2 linked regions of the Elephas maximus indicus genome follow. The protein of the gene in region 1 interacts with the protein of each later gene in a pairwise test. Links are inferred from orthologs where the notes say so. Each region holds a gene or a part of one and is shown in the gene's direction. Other genes may lie near its edges.

Region 1 (3,909 bases):
ATCAGTTCTCTCCTGCCATGGAGGCAAAGGGATTTCAATCAAGTATTTTTGGGAATCTGTTGTGCTATCACCTCTGTAAAAGCGTCTCAATGATGTCATGCTGAGCAAAGGAGATGCTAGGTTGCGTCTTGACAGAGCAAGCACCTGAAACAAAAAAGGGCTACCGTCACTACTATTCACTCAACACTTACCATATTCTAAGTGCATTCCAAACCAAACCTACTGCCATCGAATGGAGTTCAGAGCCCTGGTGGCACTGCGGTTAAGTGCTCAGCTGCAAACCAAAAGGTCTTGGTTCGAACCGACGAGCCGCTAGGAGGGAGAAAGACATGGCAATCTGCTTCTGTAAAAATTTACAGCCTTGGAAACCCCATGGGGCAGTTCTACCCTGTCCTGTAGGTGACTATGAGTTGGAATCCACTGGACCTTAACACGTGTTTTGGTTTTATGGTTTTTTTTTTATTCCAGCCACCTGACTGTGTTAAACACTGAGGATACAGAGATCCAGAGATGACATGGTCCCTGATCCTCTAAAGGCTGTCTAATCCTCCAAAAGCTCCCAATGGACAGATGGGCACAAAACTATCAAGACACGATGTGAAATCATAATAGACATTACAGAAGACTTTAAGTACAGGGAGAAGCAGCGCCCTGAGGCGGTCGGGCTGACTCTGCTTGGGAACTAAATGACATCTGAACTGGGTCTCGCACGATGACCAATCGGTCAAGGATATTATGGGAAAAGCACACGGTGGACTCACGAAAGGGTGGAAGTAACCTCAATCTCCTAAACTGCAGGATCGCTCTTCCCTTGGGTCGGCCCTTGGCCTGGCTAACGGGCTGCTGGGCCCTCCCTGCGGTCGCCGTGACTGCGGAGAAGGACAGGACTCAGCCACCGCTGCCGCCCGCCCGGAGCCCGAGGACCTCCGCTCTTCTCACCCGCGCCAGAGCCGGTAACACGGTGGTCACTGCCATATCTCGCCTAGCCCGCACCGGAAGTCTGCGGCCGGGTTACTTCCGGGAACCCCGGGGCTACCGAACCCGTGGACTCCGGCTCCCGGTCCGAGCCGGAAGACGCGTCCCTGCGTACGACGGAAGTGACGGCGCCGGTGGGGGGGGGGCGGGACCTGAGGCCGAGAGAGGTTCGCGCGCTTCGGGCCTAGTCCGGACTCGCCGACGCCGCCGCCATATTCCCGGTAACGGGGGCGCGCGGCCGGGGGCCGGCTGGGCCGGAAGAGGGGTCGGGGCCGACGCCGAGGCGGGGTGGGGGTCGGTGGAGCCTGCGGAGGCCGGAACCGGCGGCCTGAGGAAGACGCGGGGCTCTGCGGGAGGAGGCCGCGGGCGCCGGGCCGGCTCTGTGGGGAGGCAGTGGGGCGGGCCTAGCCGGAGGGCGAGGACGGGCCCGGGTGGGGAGCCGGAGGCTGGAGGCTGTGCGGATCCGGGCGGCGGCGCCGGGCCCGCTGGGGCCGACCCGGGCCTAGGCAGGTGCAGCGGGCGGGGGCTGCGCGCTTCGCCGCGGCGGTTCTTCGCAGCGCGGTCCAAGGGCCTCTAAGGAGCCGAGGCCTGGACTTCCCGTCCAGCCCCAGGCTGCTGCGGCCCCGGCGCGGCCTAACCCGGCTCGGGTCCGAGGGTGATGAGCGGCTAGCCCCGGCGGCCTGGGCGAGCGGGGGCGGCGCGAGGCCGGGGGCGGGGCGGGTGGGGCCGAGCTCAGGCTGCTGGGATGCTGCGTCTCTGGAGACGGGAGGTTGGCAACCACTGCCCTCCCATCCCGGGACTCTCATGCCTTCTAATTTCTGCCCTTTTCTGGATACCGCAGTGGCATCTTTCTTACTTCCTCCGTTCTCCGGGCTCGAGATCTTCCTGCCGGAGCCATGTCAGAAGGAGTGGACTTGATTGATATATACGCGGACGAAGAGTTCAACCAGGTGAGGGGGTATCAGGAACATTGTGATTGTTCTCATCATTTTAGGAGTCACTTCCAGCAAACTTGCGGAGGTTCGAAGCAGTGGCAGTCCTTGGGGACTTGCTAGGCCTGAATATTCCTCTATCTGGTGTTGGGAAAAAGTTACTAAAAATGAAATCTACTCCCAATCCAGAAAACTTCTCCACAAAAATAGAAGAGAAAGAAAAGTTTGATTGTTGAATAAGTGTTAAACCAGAATGTGATGCCGAGGCATAAAGAAATCTTTTGTGTAGCTGAATGGATATAACTCATTACATTCATGTTTAAAACAAAATTACTGGCTTTATAATATCTCTGCGGCAAGATACCTAAAATTATGCTAATCTCCTTCCAGGAAACTGCGAGGTAGGGGTGTACATTTTCTTGATGAATACATTTCAAAAAGATAGTTCCCAGGTCCTTAAGGAAATATCCTTCGTTCACAAACGTTTCAGAAAAACAAAGATTTTGCCTTTACAAGTTTATTTGAAGTGAATTCTGAAAGAATGGGAGAAGCCTCTTTCCTAATTTTCCACAAGGGGAATTAAAATCTCTTATTTTCAATTTGTATTTTTCCTTACACAGGTCTAAAGTTTTCTCCCTTGTGGAGACCTTCAAGACTACTACTCAGCGCTCTGCTTTATGTTGATCTGAACCTCTAGACTTAACTTTAAAAACTTTGATTTAAGAGCAAATAAAGATCAAGCTTAATTGAATGGTGGATCAACCTGTGGAACATGCTCCCTCAGAAAGCCACAGTTGGCTGTGAATCTTCTCAGAGACTAACCACATTTAAAAATTGGGGTTGTATTGGCTGTAATCTTATGAGGACAATGTTGATATCTGTTTTATTGCAATTTTCTCGAACTGCATCTGGAGAAAAGTGTAGTCTCCAATCCCCCACAGACTGGTGCAAAAGCACAGTATAAAACAGATATTTTAACATTTAATTTCATCTCAGTTCCAGTTGTTCTGCATTTTTCTTCTTTCTACAAGTAGCTTGACCCTGGTCTTGGGAAAACTGTAGGCATTTCGGTGTAACAAATTTTATTGATTAACCTTATCGTTTCAAGGAGGGGAAGGGGGGAAAGCTGTTGAACACACCAGTTAAAAAACAGGTGTAGACTTGCTCATATACCCTAAATTGGTTTCTTGGTTTCAGTGTTTTTATACGGAAGAACATTATGCAAAAGATTTCTCCCTCTTGAAACGATAATCGTATATTCAGTTCAGTTCTGAAATCTTGAGGCCAGATCTCAAGAATGCTCCAAAGTTTGTGTTTAAAACTTAACTACTATATTGCCTGGATTGTTTTCAGCACCATTCTACTTGGGAGAGCTGATTCTTCCCATTGTCGTCTTCCAGTGGGTGCATATAAGAACCTAGAAAGAGATTAAAAGAATGGATTAGAGGAGGCAAGTGCCCTGGTTAGGCCCTGTCTTTGAAGTGAGGCAGCCAAGTTGATATATGCTATTTTTTTCAGTTGGGGCCCTGGTGGCAAGGTGGTTAAGAGCTTAGCTGCTAACTGAAAGATTGGCAGCTTGAATCCACCAGCTACTCTTTCGAAGCCCTGTGGGGCAGTTCTGTTCTGTCCCGTAGGGTCGCTATGAGTTGTAATCAACTTGAGAGCAACAGGTTTGGCTTTTGGTTTTATTTTTTCATTTAATATAAGTTTACATTAAATTTTTTTTTTAATGCATTGTGGTTTTTTAACATGGAGATTCTAAAACATACACAAAAGTCAAGAGAATAGTGTAATCACCTCTGTGCATTACACAACTTTACCCATTATACATTTTTCTATTTTTTTATTGCAAAACTATACATAAAATGTGCCATTTCACCTTTTTTTTACATGTTCGATTCAGTGGCAGTTATTTTCGTGTTGTGCAACCATCACCATTAGCCATCAATTACACTTTTTGATGACAGCTTTCTGTTGTATCCTTGGGTAACCTGTGGAGTCA
Region 2 (3,445 bases), on another chromosome or scaffold:
CCGGGTAGGAGAATAAAATTGAGAGGGCTGTAACTTTAGTGTAATCATTTAAGTAAAGACGGGACCACCAAGTCACGTGGATCCAGAGCAAAAGTGCGCCCAGCTGAAGAACCTATGCAAAGGCCCTGCAGGTAGCAGCGCCGGAGCATGACGGGAGATACCGCAGTGGCCGGTGCTGTTAGGGAAAAAGAGCGAGAGGGAGAAGGACGTGAGGAGGCGAAATCCGAGAAGCAGGCGGGCGGGGTCAGGGCTAGAGCCTGGGGGTGCCCTGTAAGAACTGCTTTTACTCCCAGCCGGCCGGGAACCACTGGAGGTTTCTGAGCACGGACTGCTGGGACTTGACTCGGCTCAGTGAAGAGCACACTGCGCAGGGAGCCTAGCCAGCATTTTTCTGCGATAACCCCGGGACTGTTCTACGGGATTAGAGGCTGGCTCCGATCGTCTCAAAGGCAGAGCCGACATGGGCATGAGCGGATAGCGGGTGAGGGTGGGACCCACCTTGCGGGTGATGTTGTGCACGTAAGGGCAGGTATTGCAAGCGAAGCGGTGGCAGCGCTGCCCCTCCTCCACAATCAGCCCGTTTCCGCAGCCCGGGCAGAAAAGCAGCATAGCCGGCGAATCAGCCCGATTCCGCCAGCCCCTGCAGCATCCTGATTCCCGGCAACCTCCGCGTCCGCTGGGCGCCGGCGCTCGCCCGGCCTCGAGCTCTCATTGGCCCAGGCAAGGCACTCCTCAGGCCACCAATAGGCACGCTGGCCTCGCGCTCCCAGCGTGCCCAGCAGCAGACGGTCTTGCACTTCTCATTGGTCAAGGTGGCCCGCCCCGCCCCCAAGCGCACCAATGGCTGTCCAGGCTTGCTCTGCGGTCCACAGTCCTTTTGTGCACGCAATTCGTCTTCCTCTCGCCGACTGGCCGGGGCGAGAGACCCACGGCGGACGCAGCCCTGGAGGGGGCTGAGGCTGAGGCGCGTCCCGAGGCGTCGGAGGTCGACGAGGACGACGACGAGGCGCTCCCGCACTCGGAGGTGGTGGACGTGTTCCAGGAGGGTCTCGCCATGGTGGTGCAGGACCCCCTGCTCTGCGATCTGCCGATCCAGGTGCGCAGCCGGGGTCTTTCCCAGCGAGGCCGGGGCAGGAGCGGCGGGGAGCGGACCCCGAGGTCGTGTGGATATTGCAGCCCCTGAGCTGGAGGAAGCACAGGGCTGGTCCTCGGAGGGCGCATTTTCCTGCCTATTTCTGTTGTTGTTAGGTGCCGTCGAGTCGGTTCCGACTCATAGCGACCCTGTTTCTGTGCCCTTCTTTTACTGGAGCCTCTGTCCACTTTGATCCTTAAACTTGAAAAGTATGGGTGAAATTCGAGATCGGGGTGCTGAAGAACTGCGAGCCCTAATATAAGCAAGGATCCTTTCCTCTACTTGCTTGTCGTAAAATATGGACACCCCTTTTTGGCCTCTGTCAACTTGTTTTGTTCATTGTCATTTGGGATGATGAGAAGAGCACCCCACTTTTGTCTTTTCCAGGTTACTTTGGAAGAGGTCAACTCCCAGATAGCACTGGAGTATGGCCAGGCCATGACTGTCTGTGTGTGCAAGATGGACGGAGAGGTCATGCGTAAGTGATGCCCTCCTCCCTGCCACTGTGCTTTCTCAGGGCTGCCAGAGACATCAAGGCCACCACGAACCTGCCCTGCCCCGAGGTTGGCCTGTGGTACCCACTGACCTGAGGTCTTCTCCCATTTGTATCCCTGGCTGCAGCTGTGGTCGTCGTGCAGAACGCCACAGTCCTGGACCTGAAGAAGGCCATCCAAAGATATGTGCAGCTGCGGCAGGAGCGTGAAGGGGGTATTCAGCACATCAGCTGGTGAGTGGAGCAATTCCCAAGCCAGCATGCACACGTGCTGGACCTGTGCTCTCTGGTCCTCTGCCATGACTGAGGGGTGAGTGCCCTGTCTCGAGCTCTTTCAGGCAGAGACAGGTCTTCCATGGATTCCTGCCACTGCCTCCTTTCTAAACATGCTCATCTGTGTTGTCCCGCCTCCGCTGCTTGACTCTTCACTTGGGGGCACCTTTAGGCATTTCCAGTGTGACATGAAATGGTCTCCCTGGTTACAGACAGCACTGCTCGGTCAGGGCCCACCCCTCCCTCCCTCCCTCCCTCTCTCCCTCCCTCCCTCCCTCTCTCTCTCTCTCTCTCTCTCTCTCCCCTACTCTGCACCAGTGCATTTCTGCCAAGGGTGTTCGACCCCTATGCAGCCCTTTGGGACCAGTGCCCCTTGTAGCTCCTTCAGGCCTGGTGTGCACATCATGCAGGAAGAGAACTCCTTGTTTCCTGAGTCTCCCTCTTGCAGGTCCTACGTGTGGAGGACCTATTATCTGACCTTTGTGGGAGAAAAGCTCACAGAAGACAGGAAGAAGCTCCGAGAGTAAGTCCTGGCCACATCTTGAGCTGCTGAGGGGTGTCTGGTCCTTGTCTGCCTCTAGTCCCTGTACTCTCGTAAAGGAAGGGGCTTCCCAAAAACACCTATGTGCCGGATCTCAGCCATCCCCACTAAAAGGGCAGGCAGAGGAGTTGGCTACAGCAGTCCTGGCTGGCTCTCACCACTGTGAGAACATCAGGGTCCTGTGGATGTGCACAGGTCAGATGGAGGGAAATGTAAGCATGTAGAGGGGAAGGGCCACCCACTGAACAGCATGAGCCGCTTCCTCGCTCTGCCTCCTTCTCCCTGGCACCACCCCCTCTTCTCCCCTTTCTTTCCCTTCTTTTTCACAGGCCCCAGGTAGGAGTCACTGGTGTATCTTTCTGCCCATCAGACACATCCGACCTTTCTTTCTCTTTCAGTTACGGCATCCGGAATCGGGATGAGGTCTCCTTTATCAAAAAGCTGAGACAAAAGTGAGCCTCCAGCAAGGACAGAGGTGTGGGGGACAAACTCTTCTCCTCAGGACATTACCCTTGGCCACTGTCTCCTTCACAGAAAGGCAGGTTGCAGCCTCACCCCAGTTGTGCTCTGCCTCCTCCTTCCTCCCCCATCTGGAACCAACAATGTGAGCTCCATGACTGTCAGGTCCTCATTTCTCTTCCATTTACTTGATCTGAAGCCCTCCTGAGGCCCAAACCTGACTACATGTGGATCCCACAGGACAGCCTCATATACAAAATAAATGTTTGCTTTTTAGTTTGAAAGTCAAAAAGCCAGAGTACCCCCGCCAGGAGGTACAAATGCTGCCCCATAGGGAGGTGGAGAAAGGGAGCAGGGTTGGAACACATGGGCCCTGAGGTCCAGGGTGACCACCTGTGCCCTGTGGCTGCATGGTTCCCCAGATGGCAAACTGCTCATGCCGTGATCTGTACAGCAAGGGGGACAAGCAGAGCAGCTGTCTTTGTTTCTGTTTGTGGGACCAGGGTAGAATGTGTGTAACACAGATATGGGCTGGACCAGAGGCCCC

The links.
Region 2: the proteins of CPSF7 (region 1) and SNRNP25 interact in binary tests that used the Homo sapiens proteins (3 or more experiments, as listed by UniProt). The two-hybrid records come from large-scale screens. The link is inferred for Elephas maximus indicus from reciprocal best matches to the Homo sapiens genes CPSF7 and SNRNP25.

The regions. Positions count from the first base shown.
Region 1 is NC_064825.1:124,495,968-124,499,876, reverse strand, and holds the start of CPSF7 (cleavage and polyadenylation specificity factor subunit 7), read left to right. Parts: upstream 1-1,127; 5' UTR 1,128-1,170; coding exon of another isoform or gene 1,171-1,355; exon of another isoform or gene 1,356-1,415; coding exon of another isoform or gene 1,416-1,781; intron 1,782-1,816; 5' UTR 1,817-1,871; coding exon 1,872-1,925; intron 1,926-2,266; exon of another isoform or gene 2,267-3,256; coding exon of another isoform or gene 3,257-3,324; intron 3,325-3,909. Other genes in the region: SDHAF2 (succinate dehydrogenase assembly factor 2, mitochondrial), read right to left, coding at 1-144, 940-975; proline-rich protein HaeIII subfamily 1-like, read right to left, coding at 983-1,127, 1,171-1,355, 1,416-1,781; TMEM216 (transmembrane protein 216), read right to left, coding at 3,257-3,324.
Region 2 is NC_064830.1:57,376,168-57,379,612, forward strand, and holds SNRNP25 (U11/U12 small nuclear ribonucleoprotein 25 kDa protein), read left to right. Parts: upstream 1-1,012; 5' UTR 1,013-1,054; coding exon 1,055-1,096; intron 1,097-1,519; coding exon 1,520-1,610; intron 1,611-1,753; coding exon 1,754-1,859; intron 1,860-1,866; exon of another isoform or gene 1,867-1,959; coding exon of another isoform or gene 1,960-2,100; intron 2,101-2,346; coding exon 2,347-2,421; intron 2,422-2,837; coding exon 2,838-2,895; 3' UTR 2,896-2,929; downstream 2,930-3,445. Other genes in the region: POLR3K (DNA-directed RNA polymerase III subunit RPC10), read right to left, coding at 499-609; RHBDF1 (inactive rhomboid protein 1), read right to left, coding at 1,960-2,100.